7 linked regions of the Callithrix jacchus genome follow. The protein of the gene in region 4 interacts with the protein of the main gene of each other region in a pairwise test. Links are inferred from orthologs where the notes say so. Each region holds a gene or a part of one and is shown on either strand. Other genes may lie near its edges. The genes, in order: STAT1, MAPK8, PDK3, EGFR, CDK1, YWHAZ and PTPN12.

The links.
Region 1: the proteins of EGFR (region 4) and STAT1 interact in binary tests that used the Homo sapiens proteins (3 or more experiments, as listed by UniProt). The link is inferred for Callithrix jacchus from reciprocal best matches to the Homo sapiens genes EGFR and STAT1.
Region 2: the proteins of EGFR (region 4) and MAPK8 interact in a protein complementation assay, tested with the Homo sapiens proteins (3 studies listed by BioGRID and IntAct, with this or other methods). The link is inferred for Callithrix jacchus from reciprocal best matches to the Homo sapiens genes EGFR and MAPK8.
Region 3: the proteins of EGFR (region 4) and PDK3 interact in a protein complementation assay, tested with the Homo sapiens proteins (2 studies listed by BioGRID and IntAct). The link is inferred for Callithrix jacchus from reciprocal best matches to the Homo sapiens genes EGFR and PDK3.
Region 5: the proteins of EGFR (region 4) and CDK1 interact in binary tests that used the Homo sapiens proteins (3 or more experiments, as listed by UniProt). The link is inferred for Callithrix jacchus from reciprocal best matches to the Homo sapiens genes EGFR and CDK1.
Region 6: the proteins of EGFR (region 4) and YWHAZ interact in binary tests that used the Homo sapiens proteins (3 or more experiments, as listed by UniProt). The link is inferred for Callithrix jacchus from reciprocal best matches to the Homo sapiens genes EGFR and YWHAZ.
Region 7: the proteins of EGFR (region 4) and PTPN12 interact in binary tests that used the Homo sapiens proteins (3 or more experiments, as listed by UniProt). The link is inferred for Callithrix jacchus from reciprocal best matches to the Homo sapiens genes EGFR and PTPN12.

The regions. Positions count from the first base shown.
Region 1 is NC_133507.1:37,793,399-37,797,662, reverse strand, and holds the start of STAT1 (signal transducer and activator of transcription 1-alpha/beta), read right to left. Parts: upstream 2,864-4,264; 5' UTR 2,726-2,863; intron 2,381-2,725; 5' UTR 2,227-2,380; intron 251-2,226; 5' UTR 250-250; coding exon 122-249; intron 1-121. UniProt on the Homo sapiens protein: Signal transducer and transcription activator that mediates cellular responses to interferons (IFNs), cytokine KITLG/SCF and other cytokines and other growth factors.
Region 2 is NC_133513.1:40,582,586-40,586,959, reverse strand, and holds the start of MAPK8 (mitogen-activated protein kinase 8), read left to right. Parts: upstream 1-1,523; 5' UTR 1,524-1,675; intron 1,676-2,942; exon of another isoform or gene 2,943-3,136; intron 3,137-4,374. UniProt on the Homo sapiens protein: Serine/threonine-protein kinase involved in various processes such as cell proliferation, differentiation, migration, transformation and programmed cell death.
Region 3 is NC_133524.1:25,264,574-25,268,148, reverse strand, and holds part of PDK3 (pyruvate dehydrogenase kinase, isozyme 3), read right to left. Parts: coding exon 3,490-3,575; intron 3,090-3,489; coding exon 2,979-3,089; intron 1-2,978. UniProt on the Homo sapiens protein: Inhibits pyruvate dehydrogenase activity by phosphorylation of the E1 subunit PDHA1, and thereby regulates glucose metabolism and aerobic respiration. Can also phosphorylate PDHA2.
Region 4 is NC_133512.1:22,474,913-22,479,274, forward strand, and holds the start of EGFR (epidermal growth factor receptor), read left to right. Parts: upstream 1-1,556; 5' UTR 1,557-1,814; coding exon 1,815-1,902; intron 1,903-4,362. UniProt on the Homo sapiens protein: Receptor tyrosine kinase binding ligands of the EGF family and activating several signaling cascades to convert extracellular cues into appropriate cellular responses.
Region 5 is NC_133513.1:69,676,634-69,680,806, forward strand, and holds the start of CDK1 (cyclin-dependent kinase 1), read right to left. Parts: upstream 2,804-4,173; 5' UTR 2,651-2,803; intron 2,288-2,650; exon of another isoform or gene 2,269-2,287; intron 1,120-2,268; 5' UTR 1,095-1,119; coding exon 1,058-1,094; intron 1-1,057. UniProt on the Homo sapiens protein: Plays a key role in the control of the eukaryotic cell cycle by modulating the centrosome cycle as well as mitotic onset; promotes G2-M transition via association with multiple interphase cyclins.
Region 6 is NC_133517.1:96,015,906-96,019,960, forward strand, and holds the start of YWHAZ (14-3-3 protein zeta/delta), read left to right. Parts: upstream 1-1,218; 5' UTR 1,219-1,350; intron 1,351-2,696; exon of another isoform or gene 2,697-2,847; intron 2,848-4,055.
Region 7 is NC_133512.1:72,591,863-72,596,195, reverse strand, and holds the start of PTPN12 (tyrosine-protein phosphatase non-receptor type 12), read left to right. Parts: upstream 1-1,472; 5' UTR 1,473-1,822; coding exon 1,823-1,921; intron 1,922-4,333. UniProt on the Homo sapiens protein: Dephosphorylates a range of proteins, and thereby regulates cellular signaling cascades. Dephosphorylates cellular tyrosine kinases, such as ERBB2 and PTK2B/PYK2, and thereby regulates signaling via ERBB2 and PTK2B/PYK2.

The sequences.
Region 1 (4,264 bases), on a different chromosome or scaffold from region 4:
CGAGACACATGTCATTTTTTAAATCAACAAACTTTTCTACAACAAATAATCCCATTGATGAAATTCACCTTCCAGTAAACACGTTTCCAAGTCACTTAATCAACAAGGTTTAGTTCCTTACCAGTCTTGCTTTTCTAACCACTGTGCCAAGTATTGTCGGATTTCCATGGGAAAGCTGTCATCATAAAGCTGGTGAACCTGCTCCAGGAATTTTGAGTCAAGCTGCTGAAGTTCATACCACTGAGACATACTACAGAGAAAAAGAATATACATTCTTTGTATGTATATGGAAGACCCTAGCTTCAAAGAAAACCTTCCTAGCATCAGGTTGTACTCTTAAATATCTTGCTCAATCCAAAACATAGTTTGTTCTAGGAATATTTTATTTAAATCGCATTTATAGTCTAAAGCCTGTTTTTAATTGAGTTTGGGAATCAACCTTTTTTCTCCTCCATGAAACACATCTTCAGGCCTTTGCTTGTTGTACAAATAACAGTACATTTCTAATTTAAGTATTTTTAAACTATTTTATATTTATGATATATTTTATATCAGGGCAGCCTTCTCTGGCCTCCTTATTTAAATGGCAACACCTACCCTGTAAACATGCTGTCTCCCTTCCCTGGTGTATTTTTATTTTTCGGCATAGTACTTACACCACCATCTGACCTACCACATTTTAAATTTTGATTATGGTCTATTTTCACCACCTGAAGGATGGATGTTGGAGAATTTTGTGCACTGGTGTATCCCCAGAACAATGTTAAGCACGTAGTAAGTATCAAATAAATACACCTTTAAAATGAATTTGCTATTCTATCAAATAAATACATGAAAAACATTATTTTAATTAGATTTGCTTTAAATTATAAGACTCTCCCAAAATTGCTCTCCTACAAATAACAGTACATTTCTAATTTAAGTATTTTTAAACTATTTTATATTTATGATGCATATGGTAAAATTCATTATTTTTGTTACACACATTTAAAAAGATGTATTTTCTTCTTTGCCCACTACAAACAATAAATCTGGCATAAAGTAGTAATGATTTTTAAATATTAAAACAACATCATTAAATGTATTTAAAAGGATAAAGTAACACATCTCTTTGAGTAACTGTTAAGTCAATTTTTATATAGTGATCAAATTTTTTTATATAGTGATCAAATCACATTTTTATATTGTGATTAAAAATCACAATAAAAACTTGATATAAGGAAGTCCTAAAATTCATTAGGAAAATGAAGAGTCTCCACGACCATCATGTAACAGGATTTATGTCAATATGCTGGCAATATGCAGAGTAGACACAAGTGAATCTTGTCCTGCCAGACCTCTGGGGACGGGGGTCTGGATTTTCAAGTAGGGCATGGAAGAGTGTGTGCTACTTCACCCCCACCCCACCCCAACTTCATCCGTCAACAAAGCAACCCAGTCACCGAATTATTTACTGTTTTTCAAGTGTACCCAACATTTCTGCTTTTCTCCAGCTGCCACTTGCCCTTGCAAACATCCTCTCTACAAATTGTTGCATCTCTAAATCCTACAGCAGTCAAAGCTATGTACAAAAGCCCCTTCTTTCATAAAGTTGACTTACTCACAATTAAGCTTTCTTTGACTTGTGCCTCACTGAATCTGTACCTCTATTAGAGCATTGGTTCCAGTTTTTCTTGCAAAGTTCTGTGATGCCTCCAGAGCCTGTGGCGGGGAAGGTGGGTGGAGTGGGGGTGAAGTAGCAGGGGTATTTTCCTTTTAACCTCTTCTGGACCTTGGACAGTGCCCTGAATATACTAGATGCTCAAAACAGTTTGTTGAATTGAAATCTTGTATATTTCAGACGGAATTAGAAAGTAAAAAGCAAATCATATTTTGATGTCACAAGTGTGAGTCCAGCATCCTCATTAAGCAACAGTTGCACAATGAATTGTGCTGGAGGCTCAAGTCCTATTTCTGTTCTATAAAAACAACTCCCTATCTGTACAAACAACATTCAAAGCACAATCGACCACACATCTGCATGCCTACCCCAGAACTCTTCAGTGCTGGTCAGAATTTTCTTTAGGAGTAATTATATTATCTGGGGTGGGTGTGGGGTCTGCAAAAACTAAACATCACTTTTGAACTACAGGAAGACATTAAGCTCCTCCATCTTTAAACACAGATACATAATTAAGATACCGAAGTCATATACTCATTCATTGGATCCCATGAACATTTACTGACCTGCCACCTTGTGCCCCAACAAGGGTCTGGGGATTCAACCAAAGGATCAGCTACATATAGCACGTTAGGTGCCAAGACTGTTGAGGTTGCATGCACAGAGTGCGAGCGTTAACCTAGACAGCTCTCGAGGATGGCATACAGCAAATGATACTTCCTGCGAAAAGAAGAAAATGTGACTGATGGAAAGGGGCGGAAACGGGAGAAAGTGAGCGTAAACGGGAAGGTGCAGTGACTTCTAGAGGAAAATTCTATTTCACAAGTCCTCTTTACTGCCAGAGCACGACTAGCAAGGGCAATCGTGCTGAGCAGTGCCATCTCCGAAAACAGATGGCACTGCTCGCACTTGAAATACTGGGAAGCGTTCTTTCTCCGGGATCACGGATTCGCCGATCAGCACTGACAGCCCATCCTCGCCCGGCGGCCAAAGGCACGGCCCGCGGACTCGGTCCCGGGGCGTCCTACCCCTGCACCCGGAACCCGGAACCTCACGGCCACTCACTTTGCGCGCAGGATCCGGAAGGGCTAGGCGGGGACGCGGCGATGCAGCCTCTCCGGCCGCGCCGTGTCGCCTCTGCTGGGTCTGGGGAAAGGCCAGGCGCGGTCCCCCGGTACAGCCAAGCCCCTCCGCAGACTCTGCGCTGGAAAGCGAAACGACGCTGCAAAAGTCAGCGCCCGCACCCGGCCCCCTTCCGCCCGCACCAATCACCACGCGGTTCTGCGATCAGCCAATTGGACGCGGCTGTTCCGCGGGCGCTGCCGCCTCCCTCTGCAGGCCGCTGCTCCTCCCGCGCTCCTGGTGTTTCCTCTGGCTTTGGGCCGGGCCGTTGCGTGGGCGCGCTGCAACCCAGTCCCGCGTTGCCACGCTGGGGACTGTAGTTGTGTTTACATATCTTAGAGAACGACTAAAAGGACGCGCTATGTTTGCAGAAGCCCAAACTTGGAGGTCTCTGTATTGAGTTTTACCACCGAGAATTCAGGCAGAGGACAGATTTGGCGACCTCGTCATTCTAGAAGCTCCCTTTAGCAACTGACCTCCATGTTGCTAATCCCAGGGGACACTTTTCCGTTGTCTTCACTTTACTTGACTGCTCCTAAGCATTGGGCACAGTTGACGCCTTTTTTCTTGAAACACGTGTCTTCCTTGGTCATGATGACAGCATGATAGTCCTTGCTTCTTCCTGCCTCTGGCATTCTTTCTACCTCCACCTCCACTAACAAACTAATGTTGAGTTGTCACGGTCCAGACCTTGGTCAGCTTTATGTAGGCTTCTCCTCAACACTGTTGTGAAGACCTCACCCACAACTTCAATTTCCTTCTAGATGGAGGGCTCCTACATGCTTATCTTGTCTACACCTCTCCTCTGAGCTTCACACCTACACCCCCCACTTGCCTCGCCACTTCTATGTGCAGTGAGCTCTACAGACTATGTTCAGAACCAAGCTCACCTTTCTCTTTAAACATGCTCTTCTAGAAATGGCACATGTCAGAGAGCTAGGATTCATGGTTGACATTGCCTTCTCCCTCACCTTGCCACACCTGATCCTCAACCTTGTTGATTCTTCTTCCTAATTCCCAAGTCTCATTTACTCTGCTCCATCCCTTTGGCCGCCTCCCTTTTCTCTCATTCCCATTACTGCAGTAGATTCCCAAATGGCTGCCTCACTTCAGCCCTTAGCTCCCTTTTAATCCATTCTCCATACAGCCGTTTGGTTTTTTGTTTTTTGTTTTTTGTTTTTTTTTTAATTGAAAAGCAGATCATGTTATTTGCCAACCTGAAAATCCTACCATGGCTTTTCTTGGATCTTATAAAATTTAGTTTCTTAATACATATTATAAAGCCCTGGTTTCCTGATCTCTTTCTCTAACCCCATAATGTACAACTCTGTTTTGCTTACTTCAGCATTTAGTTCTTCAAATAAACCAAACTCCCCAAATTCAGGGTCTTCTCACCAGTGGCTCTCTATTTGGAAAACCCCTGAGACAACATCTGCTTTACCCAACTTCTTTGCTGGCTAACTCATCTCTGAGATCTTAGTT
Region 2 (4,374 bases), on a different chromosome or scaffold from region 4:
ACAGGACCTTTGCATACAAAGTTACTTCTAAAATATTCTCTGCCTAGTCAAACCCATTCCAAGCTCAAGTGACAGTTTCTCAGGGAAATCTTTTCTGCCCCTATTAACTAGTGTATTAACTGGTTTCATAATATTATGTATCCTTGACAATTTGTATTATAAGACAGTGATAATTTTGCATGTGTTTACTGCTATTACTTTGATAGCACAGTGATTAAATCTGTAAACTCTATTGTATTGCCTGGCACTGAATGGGCATGCAATAAATAATTATTGCAGGAATAAAGGATGGCAGGAAATTAAGAAGGTTGAAAAGGAGGGAGAGAGAAACTGGGATGAGAATTAATGAATAATCACCTGTATGTTCCTTTTCAGAATCACCAGAAACAGGCCAGCCCAACATACATATATATATAATATTTATAAAAATTATATTTATTATAAAAACAAATCATTATAGATATATTTATAAAAATATATAAATATGTAAATATTTATATATTTATTATTAAAGTAACTTACTTGTTTCCGATTGTGAACATAACTATTATTCTCGGAAAACATGAGAAAATACCCAAAGTGTGAAAGAGAACCAAGTCACCCTTTATTCCATAGTCCAATGATGAACGACTGTTAACATAATTTGGTGTATTTCTTTCCAGGTTTTTTCTATGTGTATATATAGTATCTAAGTGGGATCATTCTATATATAAGACCTGTTTTGTGCTTCTTTCTCTTAATGATATATTGTGAACATTTTTCTATGTTGTTAAGAATTCCTTGAACACATGGCCTTTAAATTGCTAAAATGTATTCTACCGAATTGATGTAGGTAATTTCCACCCGTTGTTGGATATTTAAAGGGCTCGTCAATTTATCGCTTCTGTAACATTTACACGCTTTGTGGTGCCTCAGAGGTAAGCCAGGTAATGCAAGGCATCTGGGAAGAGTTGGATTTGCAAGGAATCTCGGAGGACGTGGATTTTGGGAAAACAGGAGGCAGCTTTTCTAGGGCAGGTGAAGAGAACACTTATCTCTCTGTGGGTTGCTGGGACCCGGACAGGTGTCCTCGGAATGGAACTACTGTTGGTCAAGGTAAACAGCTTTTCATCGCTCAGATGTGTATGGAGTGGAAGAGTGCCTGTTCGCCGGGCATATTTGGCCTAAGCGCACCTGCCCTTCAACCCTGTGCCAGCGAGGCCCGAAGGCTTAAGCAAGGACCTGGCTACCGGTGCCAGCCAGACGCGGTCCCCTGGTGCCACGCGCCAACACGTGCCGCCTCAGGGCCCCGCCCCTCCCGCTCCTGGCCATGCCCCTCACCACCGCCCTCGGAGGCTCTCCCCGCGGCTCCGCCTCCAGGCCACCTCCGCAAGTCCCTCGGCCCACTGGAGTAGCCCCGCCCTCGGGCGGCGCCCCGCCCCCGCAATCCGGGCCCCGGGGCTGCCCCGCCCCGCAGGCCGCTCGGGAAGCGCGGGGGCAGGGCCCTGCGCGATGACGTAGGCGGGCGTGCGCGGTGACGGCCCGCGTCCCTGTTAGTCAGCGGAGCCGCTGAGGCCGGACGACGCGGCTCGGAAAGCTGAGCCGCGAGCTGCGCCGGGTAGCGGCCGCGGCGACCGCCCGGACGGCCCCTGTCTCCGCTGGCGGGCTTCCCTGTCGCCTTTCGCTGCGCTGCCGGGTGAGTGCGGCGGGAGCCGCAGGGCCAGGGCGGCCGGCGGCCCCGCCGTGTTTATGTTATTGTGCCGTCGCCGCCGCAGCCTTCTCAGCCGTGACCCCCTCCCGAGAGTGGGGACGAGAGCGCGCGGCGGGCGGGGGCGGTGCGGGAACAATAGCGGCGCGGAGGCGGGGGCCGGACGAGGGGGCGTGGGGCTGCGGGACCTGAGCGCGCTCCGCCGGCCGCCTGTCCGCCCGCCCGCCACCGTGAGCCCCGCCCGCCTGTCCTCTCGCGTCCTCCTTGCGCGGGTCCTGCCTCCGAGTCGGGAGGAGAAAATGGAGCGGGGGGTGGGTGGCAAGTTCTGAAACACTTCGGCGAGGGTCGGACGGAGGCATCTCCGCGGCCCGCCGCTCCCTGGCTGCCTCCCGGGCGGCGAGGAGCCGAGGAGAGCGCTCCTGCCGCCGGGTCCCCAAGCCTGCCCCGAGCCCATGGGGACCGTATTTTGCTTCTCGGTGGTTTCTTTGTGCTAACGTTCTGGGCGAACGCAGGCAGCAGCGCTGAAAAGGGCCGGGGTGGCCTTCAGCTCTGGGCTGCGAGGCAGAGCTCAGGCCGGTGGCTTGGGCGGGAGGTGTCCACCCAGCTCGGCCCGAGCTTCAGTGGTCAGCGCGCATTTCTCTTGGGGGTCACTCGGTGGTGACCTTTTGACTTTTTCACCCCGCCCTCCCATCTCTTTGTCTCACATTTGTGTTCCCAATTCAGAGATGGTAGAACCAAGGCCATTTTAAAGTACCCTGATGAACACTTCATTTTTATTCCCGAAAGTTCCTCGCCTGGTCTTTACTGCGAATTTAATAATATGTTGACTACATGGCATTGTCCAGTGATTACTATTTTTACCTCTGAAATTCAGTGATTTTTCCAGCAGAATTCTGGTCCGTCAGTCCATTGTGTTTTGAGATAAGCATCCAGCGAGTACCCTCTTGACAATTAGAAATCTGTTTTTTTCATTCATTCATTCATTCAGCAACTGTTTAGTAGCGTACCCAGATGAAGAGGTTTGATTTGAAGGTAAAGAGAAGTATCCTTTCATGGAAGAGGATGCTTTGAAGTACAATAGATGGACCTTTAAATGAGACAATTATGTAAGTCATGTCTGCTAAGGAAGGTATAGTTATATTCTGGGTCATTTTTTAAGCAGTATATCTGGAAGTACAAGTGTAATATTAGGAAGTAGACTTAGATTTGGTCTAAACATACAACAGCTTTTATTTCTAAACTTTATTTTTTCCAGTCTTGCAGCCTTACAGTCATTTGTAATGGTTACCTCAGATTCCCCTGCTGTGGTTAACGTTAAACCTAGGAGGTCAGATGCTCTAAGTGAACATGTTTAGTGCTGTGCCTGACAAAAGCAAGCAATCAAAATGGGACTTCCTTGAGGGCAGGCCTGTCTTGCATCTCTTTCTCCACCACCTAGCCTGGAATATAGTAAGTGTTCAATAAAAGTCGGATTGATGAAAAGCTCTTTATAATTGATAATATTTTAAATCAAACTTTAAAAAAATGGTCTCCATAAAGTTTTGGAAGCTTCATGCTACTGTTGCTTCAGATGGCTGAATGATCAGTTCATGTACATTATCTTTTACGATGACATGGGCTTTTGAATCACTTGTAGGTCATTAATTTTCCTAAAATAAAATCTTGTCTAAGTTTTTTTTATATGATTAATAAACTAAAGCAGGTTGTGGGGTGTGTGCGTGTATGTACTAGTGTATGTATGTCTGTGTGTGTATGTACGTAATCTACACACAGGCACACATAAACTGATATCTCAGTAGGGGTCTAAAATGATTGCAGTTATCATTTTGTGAATATTGTTTGAAAGGTTTTTGGTGACACTTATTTTGTGGAAAAGTAAGGGCAAAAGAAACCACATAAATGTTTTATTAGAAATATTTAATTTCTAATATTTTAGGAATGTTTACTTGAAATGTTTGATTTTAAGTTCTAACTTGTATTAATACTATTGGCACAAAATATGAGCCTAAAACTCAAAATAATGGATTTATCCAAGTTAAAGTTATTTTTCACTATTTAATACAGTGTAGCATTTGTTTTGGATTTGAAAGAATACGAAATGAGTGAACTAATTAATGAGCTTATTATTTGATGTAAAGTAGAAATGAAGAAATAAGAAAATGATACTATTTAAAGATAAGGGATGAAAATCCTTTAGATACCAAACTTTCATTGGTTTACCTAAAGTATGTCATATTCTAGTAGGGGGTTACTGACAAACCTTTGGCAGTAGCTCACAGTAAGGCTATGTAGAGAACCAGAGTTATGTTATTTTGTATTCCAAATTGTTGTTTTTTTAAAAATAGCTCTATTGTAATTTAATTGACATATCATAAAATTCACCCTTTAGAGTATATATATTTCATTGGTCTTTTGTATATTCACAAAGTTGTGCATTGATCACCACCACTAATTCCAGAACATCACCCAAAGAAGAGGCATTATACCCATTAGCAGTCACTCAGAATTCCAGTTCAAATTATGCTTTAAGAAATATAGCATCGATTCTGTTAGTAAATATATTCCTTTAATAAGTATGAAAAGGGCTCCTTTTAAGTGTCCTGGAAACTATATCCTTCATATTCCTTTAGATCCTGGGGGAAATGCCATTTGGAAAGGCAATTAGTGCAATAATAAATTGTACACAA
Region 3 (3,575 bases), on a different chromosome or scaffold from region 4:
TCTCCTGCCTCAGCCTCCTGAGTAACTGGGATTACAGGCATGCGCCACCACGCCCAGCTAATTTTGTATTTTTAGTAGAGACAGGGTTTCTCCATGTTGGTCAGGCTGGTCTTGAACTCCTGACCTCAGGTGATCTGCCCGCCTTGGCCTCCCAAAGTACTGGGATTACAGATGTGAGCCACTGCACCTGGCCTGTAGTTCAGATATTTTTAGGGATTAAAAAAATTTTCAGTACTATCCTATATCTCTTCATCATGGAACCCTGATTGTCAATAACAGGTGTTCTAGGTTGGGAAAAAAAAGGTCTCAGGTATGGACAAGAACAGTAAGAATTGAAAGCAAATGTAATACTGTTTGTGGTGGTAGTGGGGCAGGGTGGGGAAGGAGGTGCTGTAACACCAAGCTTCCTCACTTCTGGTTAAATTTATGAACAAGGTTAAGGAAGGAAAGCAGGGAAATCATGTGCAGAGTTGCCTTAGGCTCAGAGAGACCCAAGTTGAAATCCACTTTCTGTGTCACTCTGAGCAGCGTACTCAACCTCTTTGAGGCCATTTTTTTCATCTGAACATATAATACAAAGCTGACCTCAGAGCTGCTATAAGGATTAAATGATATAACAAGTATAAAATCTTGGCACAGTGGGTCCAAAGTGGCTCCCGCCGGAGGTCGTGGCGCTTGCAAAGGCGAGGTCATGAGTTCAAGGCTAACCTGAGCAAACTTATAAGCTCAAACTGATTGGCAAAAAAAAAAAAAAAAAATCTTGGAACAGTAAAACTAAATAAATGGAAGCTGGTACTATGGATAGTAAGGGCAGCAATTTTATGAAGTTACATTGATTTCTGCCATTTTCTAACATCTGTCCGTGATACCTTCCCTCAAGGTAGGGTCTAACTGAAAGGGCAGGGGGTGAAAGAAAGTACCCTATCCTTTAAGGGCTTTAGGACTAGCTGAATATGCCCAATAGTGAAGATGAGATATCTATAGTAGTGACTCAGGTAACCACAGCAAAGAAACCAGCTCACTCTAGGAAGAGACATGAGAAAATCTGCCTCCTGTGCTCATGCAAGGCCCAAAGCCTGCCCTCATGCCCAGCACAGAACAGCCAACAACTCCGAGGCCAATGTAGTTGTGAGTGTAAGCCCAGACTCCCAAGGAATGCAGAGGAGAGGTCTGGACCTCAACCTCGAATTTGCTGAGGTTCCTGAAAAGTTTCCTAGAGTGTCAGAGGATCAACAGGAGTTCTCTGGGTGGATATTCTCGAAAAAGAAATGCACGTTTCAAGGCACAGAGGTGTAAAAGCGTAAGTTGCTCAATGAAGAAATTATGTTTTTTAGTAGTACATACTCATGTGCCCACTTTAAAGCTGAGAACAGTTTCTTTTTCTTTTCTTTTTTTTTTTTTTTTTGAGACAGAATCTCACTCTGTCACCCAGGCTGCAGTGCAGTGGTGTGATCTTGGCTTACTGCAACCTCTACCTCCTGGGTTCAAGCTATTCACGTGCCTCAGCCTTCTGAGCAGCTGGGACTACAGGCATGTGCCACTGCTCCCAATTTTTTTTGTGTATTTTTAGTACAGATAGGGTTTTACCATGTTGGTCAGGTTGGTCTCAAACTCCTAACCTCAAGTGATCAGCCCGCCTTGGCCTCCCAAAGTACTAGGATTACAGGCCAGTTTCTTAACTGGGAGAGCCAGTAGCGGAAGCATTTCTCAAAAGGAGAGGCCACCTAGTACACTGGAAAGAACACAGACATGGCCAGTAACAGCTCTGTGGTTAATCAGCTCAGTGACCTTGGGGAAGGTCATTTCCTCACCTATACAATGGGAATAAGCATTCATAATTTTTAAAGGTCTCTTACAAGTCCTCAGGTTTATTCAGAAAAAAAAAACCTATTACATAATAGCTATCCTCAAGATTCTATTTTAAGACCTGGACAAGACAATCTATATTTCTCTTAAACAACTAGGGAAGATTCTAGATTTGTTTGTAGTGCCTTTTTTCCTTTTGATGTGTATTTCAGTGTATACCAGAGCCTAGTCAAGACAATGCCTCTCAAATGTGATCTTTCATGAATTTTCTCGACTCCTATATAAATGATTTCCTGTTTCCAACATGCTGAGTTAACAAACTCTGTCTCAAATAAATGATGCAAAGTCTTTGATTTTATTCTTACAAATAAAATATAATCTTATATGCTTATCAGTCAGGTAGGACTTTAAAATGAAACTTAATATATACCCTGAACCATTTTGCAGACTGATAGATATGTTGCTGTGTTTAATGACAAAGGGTTCAATTGTTGTTTGTCAATTAGAAACACTCAGCAGGGGAAGAAAGTGTGGCCCTACCAGGATCTAAATGCTACCATGGCAACCAGAGGCTTTTCTCACTGCCTTAATAGGGCTGAAGGTTATTTCCAGAGTGAGACAGAAAGGGCTCTGAAAATGCATACACCACCTGTATGTTTCATGCTAATGTTATTTAATATAAAAATTTAATGTTTTCATAATGTAACATTTTAATTATATAAACAAATTTGACAGTGGAGATTCCCAGGCACTAAGTGATTCGTGCCTCTGTGGTGTGCATGCCAGAGTACACAGGACCAAGCAGCAGCTATGCATTCGGTACTGTCCTTTTGCTCACCCATTGGCAACTTCCACCCCTTCCAAGGGTAGCACAAAGTGAAAAATGGTGCTCCAGTAGCAGTCTTACCACAATGAGGTACTTTTTCTCTGTGTCTGGGAGTGAGGCACTCAGCTTGGAATGTTTCTTGGACACAGATCAGAGAGGAAATCCAAGTCCAAAGGATTCACAAAGAAAGTAGCCAAGGCAAAACATTCTCCCTCCTCCAAACCGTAATACAGGCAACATTCTAAGTCAACCACACTAATGCGACAATCTGGGGAGAGAGGCAGCTCCCTCTGAGCCCCTTCCCATGTTTATGATCTTTCCTTCAGTAGCAGTTTCAGACGCTTACCAAAGGGGCAGCTCTGGTAGGCTCCAGGCTGGGTCTAGGAGCAGTCGAATACATGTAGTTAAAAAGACGATCTATTTTTCGAAGTGGGACACCACCACCTAGGTCACTGATCTGCAGTGCACAAAATGTTAACAGTCAAAACAAATAAGTTGATCTATACTTAGTAGGAGGTAATGGGTTCATTAAATAAAGTACATCGAAGATTACTCCAAAATGTACAAGGGCTTTGAATCCCCTAGTGACATATGGTTCCTCTGTAAACAGTGTAAAACAAAGGAGACTGAATGGTATTGTAGGATCTGACAGGCGTGGTGTTGAGGTCTTGCTCAACTCCCTGAATAACAAGGTTCTAATGAAGTTCAAATAAGGTACCTCAAGCCAAGGATCTAGCATAGAACTTACAAATAGGACACTCAATAAATGTCAATTTTCTTCCCTCTGAGTTTTCAATGTCTAGATACTATTAAATCACAACTGATAATTAAAGTATACATGCACATAAGACAGTTACCTTAATGGATAAGTCTTCTTTACCCAAAGTAACAAGGGTTTTAACAGCAGGGTAGGCCTCTTTTTTATCTTGATAGAGTTCGACTG
Region 4 (4,362 bases):
TTAACTGAATTCATACGACTTCACTGTACTCATGTCTTTTATTGTCAAACTCACTCCTGTCTTCATTTTGTGTTCCGCTGTTGTGCTTCCCGTTTGCCATTCCCTGGTTTTGTTTTTTCTTTGTTTCTTTATGGACTGCTCTCAGCCCAGGTGTGCATATGTGGAGGAAGCACACACGTGCCTGCAGAGCCGTCACAGCCTCTGCATCCAGGGGCTGACTTCAACCTGCAGTGGCTGTCCTGATTGGTTAAAACAAAGGAACAAATTACTTCTCCTGATTCACAGGGGAAGTTCCAGGTTGCAGCAGCGGTGAGGAGCTGGCAGTGAGGAGTCGGCGGTGAGGAGTTTGCGCTTGCCCTGCTGAAAACCCCACCGTTTAGGCTGCAGGGTGTGAAACTCTGGCACAGACAATTTGCTGGATGGGAAGGAAAGAAGCAAGGTTGCTCCCCTCCAGGGACAGCAAAGGGCAGCAAAGGGCTCCACTTACTTCAGGAGTGTGGTTCTTGACAGAGCCGGGAGATCAAGGTTGTTGAATCAGGCCGGAAAGTCCTAGTGAACCTTGTGGAGAGGAGGGGTCTGTAACATGGACCTAGAGGGCATTTTTCCTGTAGGAGAAGGAACAGTGGGGATAGGGTGCACTTGCAGAAGGAATGTAGCTCAAGTTCCTGCAGCCCAAAGCAGCTCAGTTTCTTCCGGCCAAAGCCTCTGCGAATTTCCCTGGCATTTCTCCTGTGGGAGCTACCAGGGCAGTGGGACACTTAGCCTCTCTAAAAGTATCTCCACGGCTGTTTGTGTCAAGCGTTTATTCCAAGAGCTTCCCTTTTGCGAAGTACTGTGCCTCACACATTGGCTCAAATTACCCAGGGTCGGTTACAATAAACATTGAGGAGGCCTGTATCTGAGCTCGGAGTTGGGTACCCTCATTTCATTCAATTTCGAGGGTGCTTGACGGGATCTGAAGGACCCTCGGACTTTGGATCAGCACCTCGGACGCCTGGCACTCCTGCTGCACAGGCACGGCAACCGCCTCAGCTGCCAGGCCAGCCTCTGAGCCCTGGGAGGGTCCCAGGGTGCTGCAGGGGAGGTGGGGACCAGAATAAAAGAGCAGTTTCCCCGTCGGTGCCATTATCCGACGCTGGCTCTAGGGCTTGGCCAATCTGTCCAAAGCTGGTACAAGTTTGCTTTGTAAAACAAAAGAAGGGAAAGGGGGAAGGGGACCCTGGCACAGATTTGGCTCCATCTCAGCATAAGCTGGGCCTGCAAGTCCATGGAGACTGAGTCCAGAGGAGCAGTGCTGGGAACGCCCCTCTCGGAAATTAACTCCTCAGGGCACCCGCTCCCCTCCCACGCGCCGCCCCTTTCCTGCCGGAGCCCGGGTCCCGCGGGGGTCACCGCTGTCCACCGCCTCCGGCGGCCGCTGGCTTTGGGTCCCTGCTGCTGGTTCTCGTCCCTCCTCCTCGCATTCTCCTCCTCCTCCGCTCCTCCCGATCCCTCCTCCGCCGCCTGGTCCCTCCTCCTCCCGCCCAGCCTTCCCCACGTCCCGGCCCGCGCGAGCTAGACGTCCGGGCAGCCCCCGCGCCGCGCGGCCGCAGCAGCCTCCGCCCCCCGCACGGTGTGAGAGCCCTCCGCGACCAAGGCGGCTGGAGTCCCGAGCGAGTCCCGGGGGCCGCCGCCGCCCAGCCGGGACGACAACCCACCTCGGCGGCGTCCGCCCGAGTCCCCGCCTCGCCGCCGCCACAGCCACCGCGCACGGCCGCCTGACTCCGTCCAGGACTGATCCAGGAGCGTCGGAGCGAGCTCTTCGGGGAGCAGCGATGCGACCCTCAGGGACGGCAGGGGCCGCGCTCCTGGCTCTGCTGGCTGCGCTCTGCCCAGCGAGTCTGGCTCTGGAGGAAAAGAAAGGTAAGGGCGTGTCTCGCCGGCTCCCGAGCCGCCCCCGGAGCGCGCCCCGGACCCCGCAGCTAGCCCAGCCGCGCACCGGCGCACCGGCTCGGTGCCCGCGCCCCCGCCCGTCCGTTCCTGTTTCCTTGAGATCAGCTGCGCTGCCGGCCGGGACCGCGGGAGGAACGGGACGTTTCGTCCCTGGCCGGGAGAGTCCGCGGCGGGCGGAGGAGGAGACGGGGAGGGCACCGGGCTGCGGGCGGGGCGGAGAACGGCAGCTGGCACCTCCTGCGGTCCCGACCGCTCCCAACTTTTCTCCCTTACTTTCCCGCCTCTCTGCGCGGGATCGGCGTCCGCGGCCCGGTGGGCGCCGGGAGCCGGGGTCCCGCATGGCGCCCCGCGTTGTCCTCCCAGGGCACGGCGGGGTCGGAACGCGCACCCGAGGGGCCAGCGCTGCCCACCCGCAGGGCCGCGCGGTTTAGGGAAGCTGAGGAAGGACCCCGAGAATGCAGCCTCCCCTCGGACCCCGCGGGACAGGCGGCTTCCTGAGCTGACCTCCCGCCTCCGCCCTCCGCGCGAGTCTCACGCTGAAGCCGGCGTGGGTCAGCCTGGCCCCGGCGCCTCTCCGGGTCCCCGCGAGCCTCGTTCCCGGGTGTGGAGTAGCAGCCTTCACCTGGGAGCTGGGAGAACTCGTCTGCCACCACCTGCGGCTCCCGGGAAGGGGTGGTGCTGGCGGCGGTTAGTTTCCTCCTTGGCAAAAGGCAGGTGGGGTCCGACCCGCCCCTTGGGCGCAGACCCCGGCCGGCGGCTCGCCCCGCCCGGCGCGCTCTAGTTCGGCCGGTCCAGGTGTGTCCCGCTGAGGACCCGACCTCCCTCCGGGGCGCCCCCCCCCGAAAGCCCCGGGCTCTGGTTCGGTGGCCATGTCGCGGGTTTTCCACGCCTGCAACCCTTCGGTCGAGCCTGGGCTTCGCGGTGGAACGGGACGCGGCTGTCCGGCCACTCCAGAGGGGGACCGCGGGACTCTTGCGCGGAAGCTCAAGGAGCAGAGCCGGTCCTGGCCACACCACGGTGTTTCAAAACGGGGCTCACAGCAAACTTTCCTTCTCAAAACCCGGGGAGTTTCTTTCTTGGATGTTTCTCTTTGCCGTTTGAAGAATTTGACATTGGGCCAACCAAAATATTAAACCTGTCATACACACACACACACACACACACACCAGATTGATGTCCCTGGTTCACGTGTGCCAAGTCTCCAGACAGAACATGAGCGAGTCTGGCTTCGTGACTACCCTCATAAACCCATCTGACATGGGAAACATGCCTCAGGTTTAATTGCACAATTCCAGCCTTGAGCTGCGCGGGTTCCAGGAGCCAGGCCCGTACTTGCTGTTGATGTCACTGGCATGAGGCGTTGGGGTTTGGTGCCCAGCGCCGTTGTTGGGGGAGGGACAAGGCATAGAACAGTGGTTCCCAGACCTTGCTGCAGTTTAGAATTACCTGGGATTTTTTAAAACCAAAACAGAAACCAGTGTCTGGCTCCCACCCCCAGACATTCTGATTTAATTGACATGGGGCAAGACCTGGATATGGTATTTTTAAAAATGCTTTTCATGTGATCTGTTGGGCAGCCAGGTTTGGGGATCACTGCACGGAAGAAGGATTGTTAAAGTCTCCGGAGAGATTACTTGCCAATGCAAAGAGCTCTTTGAGGACATCTGGAGTTTTAACAATCTTGCCAAATATAGGAAAGAGGGGAAAGGTAGGGTGTGATTCCAATAATAAAGGATTTCTCTTCTCACTGAAGGAACTCTTGGAAAGATTCCTCCTCTGCTGAGCCTACGCGACCCTGTGAGTCAGGTGCCAGCCCTGTCTCTGCGGAAGAGCAGAGACTCTTCTCTTTATTTTAAATTAAACATGCAGAGCACCTCCAAAGCATCACTTTCCTCCCTCCAGCGGTGTTCTTGTTCTTTGATGTTACTAGCTTGAACACCTGTATTAGTGGCTGGAGATTTGTTCCTAAGAAAAATATAAATACCACTTAATTTGCCTGTTGGTCCCATATTCACCCAAAACAGAATGCTCCTGAAGACGACAGAGAGTAGGTGAACAGACGCTATTCCATTACGGTGACATAAAAGACTGAATGTTCAGGGGCAATTATTAAAATAGGAGATGAGCTCTTTCAGCAGAAGTTTGTTGAAGGCCTGTGTCTATCAAGTTCAGTCGGTTTTGTTCAAGGTGCACTTTGGTTCCGGGACATGCTAACTTCTGGGCTTGCTGCTCTTAGAGCAAAAGACTGCCACACACTGTTTCATGCATCCTTTCAGTCCTCACATTAAGCATAAGAGGCATGCGCTCCCCTCCTATGGGGGAAACTGAGGTACAAAGGATTAAAGTGACTTTCTCGAGGCTGCTAGGCAGCAGCGTGAAATTCACATGCAGGCCTTCCGACTCCAGATGCCTCTCTCAACTTCCAAACGC
Region 5 (4,173 bases), on a different chromosome or scaffold from region 4:
GGAAAAAAAAAAGGTCTCCTTTTATGCCAAACTGCAATCAACACTAATTCTCTGAAAATTTAAGAAACATACTACAAGGCATTAGACATACTTATCACATATTTGTAATTCAGCAGCAAAATTCATTTAGAATGGGTATGAATTAGGTATTTAAGTGATTAAAAAATATATACACACACACACACATCCAATCTACCACTACACTAACTTGTCATTCCTATTTCACTAAATTCCCTCCAGTATAGCCCCATTGTTTTTTATTATTTCTTCCCAAGTGGAGTCTTTGATCACATTAAAAATATAGTTGGGAATTTTCTTCAGCCAGAACCTATACAAACTGGACTCTATTAGCAAATTATTTTGTTCCCGGAGAATTGAGAATGTCAAAACTCCTGGAAAGAAACTGGGATGTTCTGTTGCGGGACTCAAGGGGACAGGTTAAGGGATATGATTTGTGCCATATATAGAGCTAAACATTCCTTCAAGTATCACAGAAAGGGAATGATTATATACATAAGTTATAGTTTTAGAATAGATTAAACACCTACATATGACAGGTCATTTATACTTAAGGTAACTAAATATCAAAATTAACTTAAGTCAAGACTGACTTAATAGAAGATTAAGTCAATTATTGTAACCAGTCTAGAAAATCTGAATAAAAACATTTATCATCTTAAAAATAACTGAGACTAAAAATATATTATGAAATTAGCATAATGCTGCTGCCCTAACCTCTGTCCCTAAATACATGTACAAGTTATCAACAGTGTCTTCAAAACAAGAGTAATGCTGTAAGTGTTGGGTATCAGCAGAATGTAAGACTATGGGGGTGAGGGGAAGGATCATTAGGGACTCAATAATTTTGATTCTCTTGAAATATGAACAAATTTGTGTTTAAGTTACTATGTAAACAACATATATTAATATACATTGATATTACAAGACATCTTAGTCGTTAAATTTTAACAAATATTTACATGTGTTCATATTACAGAAGTTGGTGGTAGCATTGTTAAATCATTCTAAAAAATGTTATATTACTAAAGCCACTCACCTTCTCCAATTTTCTCTATTTTAGTATAATCTTCCATAGTTAGTCAATAGGTATGGTAGATCCTAAAATGAAGGGAAAAACTGACTTAATTACATGCCACTAACTCGAGTAGTTTTAAGTATTGAGATACTATATATAAAGCATTTTCCACAATGCATACTGCAGTATAGTAAATATTCCATAAATATTAATTACATTCAAATATTTACAAGGGTAAGAACTCCTACAATAACTTTCCATCCTTCTTGACTCCTGAGACATTGGAAACATTTGTATATTCCATCCTAGTATAGTATTTAGCGTCTTCCAATCAAAATAACCCTCAAATTCAGAAATCAATTTGTCTGTTCTTTCCAAACAAAAACCAGAATGTTCCCTTTATTTGACAATTTAAAGTAGTACCAGCATGTACCAAAGTTATACCGAAATTTTTTTTGTTTATACCGAAATATTTCAACAAATTTATACCGCTTTATGATATTCCTAACATTATGCAAAACACGGTTTTTTAAAGATATAGAACTAAAATGTGTTCAGACTGTTCATTAGGAAGATTGTGTTTAAAGCGGCAAAAACGTGTAAGTGTTTACAGTTGCCCACGTGACAATTTTAATCTTTTTCCTTTGCTTGTAGAGGTCACAGAAAAACATGCTCAAGGCTTTCAAGATACTTTTTGCACGAGTAGGAAATACCACTTAAGCACGCTAAAACAAAAGAATGAAAAGTGCAATTCTACAGATAAATTATAATTATAGCCTACGCAATTTCAAGGACCAAGCAGAAACGCTGTATACTTGAATCACAATGAATGGTTAAAAAAAAAAGAGCTGACAATCAGAAGTTCAAGACTTCCTCTTAAGTTTGCCAATGAAACGTCAGAAGTCCAGGCATAATTACTTCGATTTTTCTAACACGCATCCCTGACGATAAAATCATTTATAAATACCACTCTGAATAGATTTTTAAGTTCTATTTCTCATTCATCTTCAAAGAAAAATCAATCCAGAAGGAAGCCGAGGTATATTTCTAAATGAAAACAACAACAACAACAAAAACTGCACTACACTGCTCTTGAGTGTTGAGTGCCTGGGCTGAGTGTTCTTAAAAACTCCAGGTGGGCCGGGGCCGTGGGCAGAGCCAGCTCGAGAAGGCCCACGAGTCCCGGGAGCTGTTTCTCAGGGCGGCCTGGCTTTAGGAACCTGCGCCCGTACCTGGCCCAGGTGCGGTGCCGCTTGCTCACCCCCGAGGCAGGATGGGAGGGCGCGCAGGGGGCGGGTGCAGGAAGGAGCCGGCCACTTCGCAGGCGCTCACCATAGGGGAGCGGATTGTGCTTCAACCTTGACCCGAAAGCCTCCCCAGTAAGTTTCTGAGAGAAGCCGACCTCGAGCCCTGACTGCAGGCAGCCCCAACCGCCACCCCCACAACCCCGGCTGGGCTCCGTCAGCCTCACTCTAAAGCCGGCCCGGTGTGGCTCACATGCCCAGGCCCCGGCCCAGGAGAAGGCCCTGCCTGCCCTCCAGAGACCCAGCCTGGCTCTGCGCAGATCCCTGCTCCCCAAGCCCGGCCTCCTATGAGGACTCCGTTCCTCAATACCCAGCCTCTGAGGCCCCTGGGCTCAGCCTCTAGGAGCGACCCCGACACCAGCCACTCTACCCGGCTTATTATCCCACGGCGGCAGCAGAGGCAACTACCACAGCCACGTCGCTTTCCGCTCAACTTCCAAGAGCCAGCTTTGAAGCGAAGTGCGAGCAGTTTCAAACTCGCCGCGCTAAAGGGTCCCAGATCCACCAATCAGGTAGCCCGTAGACTTTCAAAGCAGCCAATCAGAGCCCAGCTACGCTTGGGCAGGCCTCGTGGGTGGGTAGAGCGCGAAAGAGAGAGGAAAGGGCGGCTGGAGAAAAAGCAGGAGGGCGGGCGCTCTCCAGCCCTGAGAGTGTCGTCCTACTGTTTCTAGTCAGCGGAGCGGGAAGCTACTACTTGCTCCGTTCTTTTTTTTAGTTTTTTTCTCCCAGCATTGCCACAGTTCAAATTTATTACACTCAAAATAGCTCATCACTCAAAGCAAAAAAGGGATATTGTGTTTACATCCAGATTCCATTACTTTAACATCTAATACTTAGGGTAAGCAGTGTATAGTTACGTTTTTCTAAATGCGTGATTTGCGGGCTGGCTCCAAAGAGCACATTTCAGCCACCTTAAGAAGAAAATGGAAAACTCAACAGACCGCCTCAAAAATGTAAAAGAATATTTATTATTTATATCGTTGTGCTTTGTTTCTACTTCGTTTGAATTTTAATTTATTATTTACATTTTTGTTTAAAACATTTGAAATGTTTTAAATTTTAAAATATTTTCACATCAGAATTTTAAATATATAGAGAGACATATATTTAGAGACTGGGTCTCATCACGTTGCTTATTCTGGCCCCCAACTCCTGGACTCAAGCAATTGGCCTCAGCCTCCGGAGTAGCTGCGAGTACAGGCACTCGGCACAACGTCCGGTTTCACGCCCGGCTTAAATATTATGAAAACACAAAAATTCACAATTGTATGAGGGAAGAAAAACAGACTTAAATTATGCTTTAAATAATACAGTGTCAAAAACGCTGTCTTCAATGCCCTCCACAATATCCTTAAGAGCGATTTCTGCACTTACTGCACTTCAATATCTTTTTCCCTCCCTCTTTTCCTTCCTTCCTTCCTTCCCTTCCTTTCTCCCTCCCTCCCTCTCTCTTTTTTCTTTTCTTTCTTTCTCTCTCTCTTTCTCTCTGTTTCTCCCTTTCTTTCTTCTGCTTGTTTGCAGAGACAGAGTCTCCTCATGTTACCCTAGCTGGCCTCCAATCCTAGGCTCCATGGATCCTCCTGCCTTGGCCTCTGAATGTGCTGGGATTACAAGTGTAATCACCAGCTCAACCTAAACACCATTCTGACGTCTTTTTAAAATAAGTAAATAAAACAGAGCTAGACGTAATGAAAGTCTCCATTTTAAGGATTTTTAGTTGCATTGACCCTAATAGGACATAGAACAAAGACTGATTGCCACACCCACTACAAATATGTATTAGAAGACCCAAATTAGGATATGGAATGGAACTTCCTTATCCTTGTGATATAG
Region 6 (4,055 bases), on a different chromosome or scaffold from region 4:
AGACAAAACGGTAATGATAGTCACGTTTTAAATCACTGCAGTGTGAGCTCTTCACGTGAACGCTTTATTTGGGTAGGAAAACCTAGCCTACGAGAAACAGGCCCGTGCGGTCACGCCTGACTGCTCGTCTCCGGGTCAGCTGTGCCAGGACCAGCTCCAGCCCCCCACCGGAGAAGGCGATCCTTTCCCCTCCGCACTCTGGCTTCCCTAAAGCGGCCGCGCCTCCTTCCAGGCCTGACCTCCCGCCGGCTCCGCCCGGCCCGGCCCACCTCGCCCCATCTCGGTGCCCACCCATTGTCCCCTCTCGCTGTCACCGAGCGCAGATCCCGAGCTCCCGATTGGAACACCTCCCCATCACTCAGCCACACTCCCGTTTCCGAGCCATAAAAGGTCTAGGGCCACTTCCCCGGAGCCAGCAGGTAAAGCCGCGGCGGCGTAAGGGAAGCAGGGAGCGGCCGCGCCCCCTGGTCGACCCAGCCGAGCAAGGGGAGCACACCACACACAGCCCTCCCTTGCCTTGCGACCGCGCCCTGTCCTCGCCCCAGGGCCCCCACCCTGCAAGTCCTGATCACAATGCCGGAGCCGCCGACCCACACTCGTCATCCTGCCCCGGGACGGCCCTGGGACAGTGACCACCGCGAAGCACCGAGGGCAGGGCAGGGCGGGCCGGGCCTCGGGGAGGGGGGCGGGGTGGGGGGGATGTGAAAGGTCCCGGATGTTGCTGAACTGGAGCCCCTTCCAGAGGAGTGAGAGGAGTGACTGGCGCAAGCGCAGACCGGCTGAGCGAAAGCTAACGTGGGGGTAGGGGTAGGGAGACAGCTGCCTTCCCACAGGCTCAGAGGTAGAGTGGGCCGGTGGAGGCTGCAGGGGAGAGGACGTCGGGGACCTAAGGGGAAGGCGAGGAGTCGGGGGGATCTGCGTTGGGGAGGAAAAGAAAAACAGAAGCTTCCCGCCTAGGTGCACTCCGGACAAGCGTAGAGGACCTGGGAGCCGAGCCGGGTGGGGGAGTGGCCGTAGCGGGCGAGGACGCGCGCTCCTCCGCTCGCCCTCCAGCGCGGGCGGGCAGGACGCGCGCCGGGGAGCGGCGGTTGCGCGAGGCCCAGATCGCTGTGGGCACTAATCAACGGTTGCCATAGCAGCGTTTGACGTCATCGTGCGTGTGGTGCCCCTGCTGCCGGGGCTGGTGATTGGAGGAAACCCCGTGTCTGCGGAGCGGCTGTAGCCTGTGAGCAGCGAGATCCAGGGACAGAGTCTCAGCCTCGCCGCCGCTGCCGCCGCTGCCGCCGCCGCCGCCGCCCAGAGACTGCTGAGCCCCTGTCCGTCCGCCGCCTCCACCCACTCCGGACACAGGTGAGGAACCCGTCCGCCGCCGCTCCCCGCTCCTCCTGTCCCAGGCCAGCCTTCTGAACGCGTGGGAGCCGTCCTCACCGGGTCCCCTCATCCCCGCTCGCCCCACGGTGGCGGCGCGGGGCTGAGGCGGAGTCTCCCCGGCAGACACGGGCGGCGGCTCCTCTTCCGCTGGGCTCGGGCGGGCGGCTAGCGGCAGCCTCCCGCGCCTGGTTTCCGCGTCGCCGCCCCGGCCCCGATCGGTGCTCGCTCCCCCGTCCCGCTCCCGGGGGTGGGGAGGGCGCCCACACGCGAGATCCCCGGGGATCCCCCGTCGCCTGCTCCCGAAGCCGGACGAGGCATGGCCGGGGCGCCGCCGGCCGCGATTCGTCCCCACCCTTGTTTCTGCTTCTACCCCCGCCCTCGCTGCCCTTCTCGCTTCCGCCCGAGATAATGACTCGGCGGCGGCGGCGGCGGCGGCGGGCATCGCGGGGGCGCAGGTGAGGCCGCCCCCTCCCCTGTCCCTCGGCCGCCCCTTCTTTCCCCTCCCCCGCTCTCCCTCCCCCGCTCTCCCTCCCCCTCGCGCAGCCTCCGCGCTGGGCGCTGCGGTGGCGGGACCCGGCCCTCCCCCACCCCGGGAGGAGGTAGCGCGGCGGGGAGGGGCCGGGGGCCTCGGGGACACAGGCGGGAGGGAAGGGCCTGGCGGAAGCGGACAGGAGCCCGGGCCCGGCCCGGCGGCGGGAAGGGAGCCCACTGCGGGGGGAGGCTGTGGGGTGGGGCTCGCCTGGGACCTGGAGCTGAATTTCCTGGGCTCCGCGGTGGGGGGAAGGGCTTGAATTTTCTCGGTGGGGACGGGGGATGGGGATGGGGATGATTTTCTTTCCTCCTTATGAACCGTCGGGGAAGGCGCGGACTGGGGCTGTGAGCCCAGGTTGGGGTAGAGCGGGGTGCGGATCCCGCGATAGGCTCTCGCGCCGGAGTCACTAGAACTGGAGGGTCCCTCCGCCGCTTCGGGGACGCACAGTGATCCTGAGCAGAGCGGCCGCCGGTGGCCCGCTCGACTGGGTGTGGCTCTCGTCCCCTCCCCCACCTGCAGCTGTCGGGCCCTTAGGGACGGTGCACGCGGGCACCGGCGCTGATCGGTGGCGGGGAGAGCGCTGGGTGGGAAGGCGGGGTGTGTCCGCGGTGAGGCTGCTAGTGGTTCCGCTTCTGCGGGCGTCTCTGGCGTCTCTGCCCCGGGGTCGGGTGGCTTGGCTTCCCCCCACGGCTCGAGCGGGGGCGGGGGCGCCGGCTGCTCCTCCCCCTTGCTCCGGTGGGGGGGGGAATTAACACTCAGCAGTAGGTTGGGCTCCCTGACACAGATCCGCCATGACAAAGGAGGAGAGTCGGGGACCTGAGCGGAGGCTCGGGCTTGGGCGGAGCCTGGAGGGGGGTGGTTGCAGATACGCGGACCCGAGGATTTGCACTTTAAAGTCCGGGTCTGCCCGTTTTCTTTTCACCCTAACCGATGTCTCAAGTCAGGTAAGGGTTAAATGGGTGCGGTGAGTCCTGCCCGCAGTGTAGAGGCGAGGCCTTGGAGCCATCGTTACTGTGTGAGAAACCTTATCCACTTCCTCTTGTACCCAAGTAGTGGGGGAGAGAATCCTTTGTGCTGGTTTGAAATCATTTTTCGTTAGAAGCAGAATTAGCCAGAGAGCGTGTCTCAGTTCCTAAGGGAAAAATTAATAATAGAGAGACCTGAGGAAAAGCATGTCGTCATAAAGGTTAAATAATTTTTATGGGTGAGCCAGTACCTTGCATCCAAATTAGCTAATTACTTGCTTAAAATGTGAGGACATGTTCTCTCATTTGGTTAAAAAAGTATTGTGGGATTTCCCTGGGAAGGTAAAAGGTAATTAATATTCGGGAGTCAGCTCCCAAGGTGGGTGGGTCAGAATAGCTCTTCTGTTCACCTTCTAATTTAAAATATACACTTCATTTATGTGTATATTTTCCTCTAAAGTCGTTTATTCTGCGGTCTCACTGTGTGGATTAGTGTCTTTGTGCTGTTTAGCAACTTTGAAAAGGATGTCCTTCCAGAAAAATGTAGCTGAGGTAAATTGAAAAGGTCTAGGAAACTATGTGAGGGAAGGAGTTAGGTGGGTAGTCACGGCAAAGGACAGCTTGAGTGATAGCATGCAGTTATTGTGACGGTGACAGCTAGAAGCAGGATGCGGCACTTACACATTGCAACTGGAGCCATGACATTGCAAACACTTGTAAATTAAGCACTTCCAATGTGATGTATTTTAGTACTCACAGTAATAGTTGAAGGGCCATGACTCGTGGGTATTTTTAAAGCATGTGGACATACAACACGATAAAGAGTTGAGGCATTAGGGTCGGTTAGATGTTGGTCCTTTGTGGTGGCTTTACAGTAAAAATATCTGAGAACAAGCAGTTTGGCTATTCCTCCCCTAAAGTGTTATGCTATTACGGCTGGCAAATGTTACAGAGATCTAGTAGATTTGGAATGAGGGGAAAACTAAAATTTAATCACTCCTTATTATGAAAGTTAAAAGACATAAATTACATTAAACTGACTTACGATTCTGGAAGTATGATAGAAATCCACATGTTCTGTAAGCAGTACGTTTACAAAAGGAAGAAAAGCTGCTTAATTTTATATCACTTAGTGGTATTGGAATTGAGTTGAGATTTTGGGGGTAGTTTTTTAAGGCAGCTTTTGG
Region 7 (4,333 bases), about 50 Mb from region 4:
TCCCTGACCACTGTGCTCTGTAAAAAAAAGTTTGTGGGTATAAATGACCTAAGTCAGTTCACAGGTCAAGTTCTTTCAGTTCTGTCACACTGTGAAAGGTCACTGTTGTTAAAGTAAAATAACTTGTGTTCTAGTTACGGCTCTGCTAAGAATATGCTGGGGGATGTCAGAAAGCCATTTTATTTGTAAAATGATGAGTTAGACCAGAATACATTCTCTGACAGAAGTTTACAAGGATGAATAAAGACTTATAGGCCAGGCGCAGTGGCTCACGCCTATAATCTCAACAATTTCAGAAGTCGAGGGGTGAAGATCCCTTGAGCACAGGAGTTCGACATCATTCTGGGCAACCTAGTGAGACCCCCTTCTCTACCAAAAATAAAAATATAAATTAAAAAAATGTATTAGTTGGGCTTGGTGACGTACTGAGGCAGGAGGATCCCTTGAGTCCAGGTGTTCAAGGATGCAGGGAGCCGTGATCATAGCACTGCACTTCAGCCTGGGCGACAGAGCAAGACCTTGGCTGGCTCCATTAAAAAAAAGAAGAAAAAAGAAAAAGATTTATAAAGATTTAATAGATTTACAAAGTCTGTTCTACGGGGGAAAAGTTTCCCATTCATTTCTGAACTGCTGTGAACCTAAAGACAGGAAGACAAATTCCCTTCAGTTCGGCAAACACAAGAGTTCCCACTACCGCATCGTCTGTGAAGAAGGCACTCCGAACCTCAGGCGCTCAGTCGCCAGGTTTTAGAGAATGCGCAAAGAATAAAAGTCTGTTACCCAGGAAGCGTTTCGCTTCCCTTCGCTGGAGCCACGTTCAAGGTGCCAAAGCCTAACTGCTGTCCACTCTCAGCAATGTTAGCAAAATGAGCACCTACCTGCTGCGAACGTGGCGGTGACACTACTACAGTTCCCGGCCTGCCTCCCGCCCGCCCCCGGCCCGTCCCCGCCTGTCCCGGCTCCTGGACTCCACAGGCCGCGACTTGTAGTCCGAGCCTACGGCTGGCGGCGGCGTGGGACTCTTGAAAATTGCTTTTCCTCCTTAGTAGGCGGTGAGACCGCAAATTCCAGCAGAATTCTACTCTCACCGACTAGGACTTGCCCGGCTCAGAGTCGCATTCCCTTCACTGGGCAACCATCTCACCTCCCAATGCTACTCCGACTTCTGAGCACCCCGAACGGGGCCACGCCCCGGAAATGGAGTCAGGTCTCCAGGCCGCCCGCAGAAGCGCCTTCCAGCCACTCCAAGACGGGCTGGGACCCGCGGGGCGGGGTTGGGGGCGTGACCTGGAGGCGGGCGGGGGTGGATCGGCGGGCGCAGCGCTTGGGGCGGAGCCGCAGCGCGAGCCCGCGCATCTGGGTGGCGGCGGGGACGCGCCCGTTGGGAGAGGCGGCTGCGGCTGCGGCTGCTGGCGGGGGGGTGGGGGGGGAGGAAGAACCGGGAAGGGGGGGCAGGGCGAGCGGAGAGCTCTGTTCCTGAGGTGGCGGCGGCGGCGGCGGCGGCGGCGTCGTCTACGACGGAGGAGGAGGGCGGGGAAGGAGGATGGAGCAAGCTGGGGGTTGGGGTTGGCGCTAGCCGCAGCGGCTTGTCTCGTACTGTGGGAGAGTGGCGGCTGCTTCTGGAAGTTGTGGTGTCGCGATCCCCGGTGCCGCCGCAGCCGCCGCCTGGGGCGGTGGGAAGGAGGAGGGAGCCGCGGGGCTTGGCGGGGGTCGGGAGGGAGGGACGTGCTGGGGGAGCGAGCTGGGGAAGACGGAGCGGGCTCTGCGCCGGGCGGGCGGGCGGCGGGGGGGCCAGCGACCGCAACCGGGGGGACGCGGGAGGATGGAGCAAGTGGAGATCCTGAGGAAATTCATCCAGAGGGTCCAGGCCATGAAGAGTCCCGACCACAATGGGGAGGACAACTTCGCCCGGGACTTCATGGTGAGTCTCTCCCCTCGCTGTCGCCCTGTCTCGCCGGCGCCGGAGCCCATCACTGTCTCTCCCGGCCCGGCCGCCAGTGCTTTGTGTACCTCTGTGAGGAGAGCGGCGGAGGGGGCGCGCACCAACCCGGCGGTACGGGTGGACTCGGAAGCCGGCGGGAGGCGAGACCTTCTCCTTCCCTCGGCCTCCTTTCTTCTCCCGTGTTCGCGACCCACGCGCGGGCGCCCGGGACGCGAAGGGAGCGGCCGCGCGGCCGAGCCCGCAGCCTGCACCGCGGCTCGCGACCACCTATTGTTTACCCGGTCGGGAGCCGGAGGCTAGTGAGGTGCAGGCCGGCGGGACGGAGGGGGCTCGCGTTTCCACACCTCCCCGCCCAGTCCGCTCCTCCCTGGAGGGTCGAGGCAGGATCTGGCTGTGACCCGGAGGAGTGCAGATCGCGACTGACAGAGGGACAGGGGACGGGGGGATTGAGGTTAGCACTAATTCCTGGGGTCCCTTTGCTCCAGCTGGTCTCAAAGCGGGCGAAGTAGGACTTCTGTTTCTGGCGGTGCAGTCATGATCTCCAACGCTTGGGAAAGGATTGTCCATAAGGAATCTCATGGGTTTACCTAATTTGCATTTACCCGCGTCTTCTCTCCTGAGACCCAGGTTTGAAGTGGTCTTGGGGGTCCGAGTGACTCTAGGTTCAGGGAGTAAGTGTGGGTGGGGGGGATTATCCTGAAGGAAGCTGATTTCGGACTCCCCAGGGGATGTTGCCGAAGGCGGAGGGGATGTGACTATCACTTCCTATCCGGGGTGGGGGTGGGGAACTTGGGAACAATAGTCCTGGTGGGGCGGAGGCAACGCTAAGGGCCGAAGCCCTGAACTGGGAGATAACCTTCCCGGTGCCCCCCCTCGCTCCGCCGCCCCCCACTTTCCGCCCTCTGCTTGTGCAAGCAGGCTTGAGAGGAGGTGAAGGTTAAAAGTCTTATTCGTGAAATTGGTCTAGATAACGCTGTTGCTCCAGCTCACTATGAGGGGGTCAGATCCGAAGGCGTGGGACCAGAAGTCGACTTCCTACATTATCGACCCCCCACCCCCGCCTCTTTTATTTTCTGCTGGACACTGTTCCCTCTAGGGTTGTTTCCCGGCTTAGGAGGCGGTGGTTGCGGCTGCTGCTCCTACGGATATTGCGCAAGACTGGGGCGTTGGAAACCCTGTAGGTCTGGGGAATGGAAAAGGAAGTGGGACTTTGGGAAGTGGTTGCTCCTTAGCCTTGGTGGGGATTGGGAATAGGAAAACAGCTAGGGAAAATTTTTATTCTGGATAAGATAAACCTCCAAGAATAATGACTTAACTCTGAAATTGGATTATGAAAAGGATACACAGTTAATATCTTTAAAATGAATGGGCAGCAAACATTGGCTAGTTTTTATTTAAAAGTGCAGTAGTTTTTATGGTACAGGTGATATGACTTAGTAGTGAAATACTTTTTCACGTTTTAAAGAGATTTCGGTCTAGTAAAGCTTTAGCGTTAAATTTTTAACAGCTTATAAAATAGGTCCTTGACCTTAACACTATATTATAGTAGTAGTATCGTTGAGCTTTGTGATTCCTGCATCCCCAGACCAATAATAGAGGATGGAAGTAAAGTTCTCTCAGTATCTTTTGAAGATTGAAAATAAAAGTTAAATAATCTAACTTATTCCTTATTAAAAATAAAAATATTCCTTATATTTAAACATTTGCTGTTGATATTTACCGTACTTTTGAAAAATTACTTTTTGATCTGAAAGGGTTAAGAGGGCATTTTCCCTTTTTACTGTTGAGAGTTTTTCATTGCGTTGATATCTTTTGAATGGTGTCATTTATGGTAATTGGATGGCATCCCCTTTTTTACCACTTTCTAAAACGTTGGTTTGTTTTTTTTTGAGAGGGGGGTCTCATTCTGCGCTCTGCGACTCAGGCTGGTGTGCGGTGGTACAATCTCAGCTCACTGAAACCTCCGCCACCCAGGTTCAAGCATTCTCCTGCCTCAGCCTCCCAGGTAGCTGTGATTACAGGTGGCAAGTCACCATGCCTCGCTAATTTTTGTATTTTAGTAGAGATGGTGTTTAGCCATAATGGCCAGGCTGGTCTCAAACTCCTGATCTCAAGTGATCCACCTGCCTTGGCCATCCAAAGTACTTGGATTACAGGCATGAGCTACCACACCTGGCCTAAAACTAGTATTTTACCATCTTATTTTGGTTATGGAAGAAGAGATGATGTGGTCCCTGGTCATTTCTTGTTTGCATGCTAGTTATCTTGTTATCCCTAGGCATATCCTATCAGGAAGGAGCATTGTTTGGTGATGCAGGCCATCAGGACAGGTGCCCAGCCTCTGAACTCCTATACTGGGGAAGTAGCCTTAGGGTTCATGCTTTGTGGATG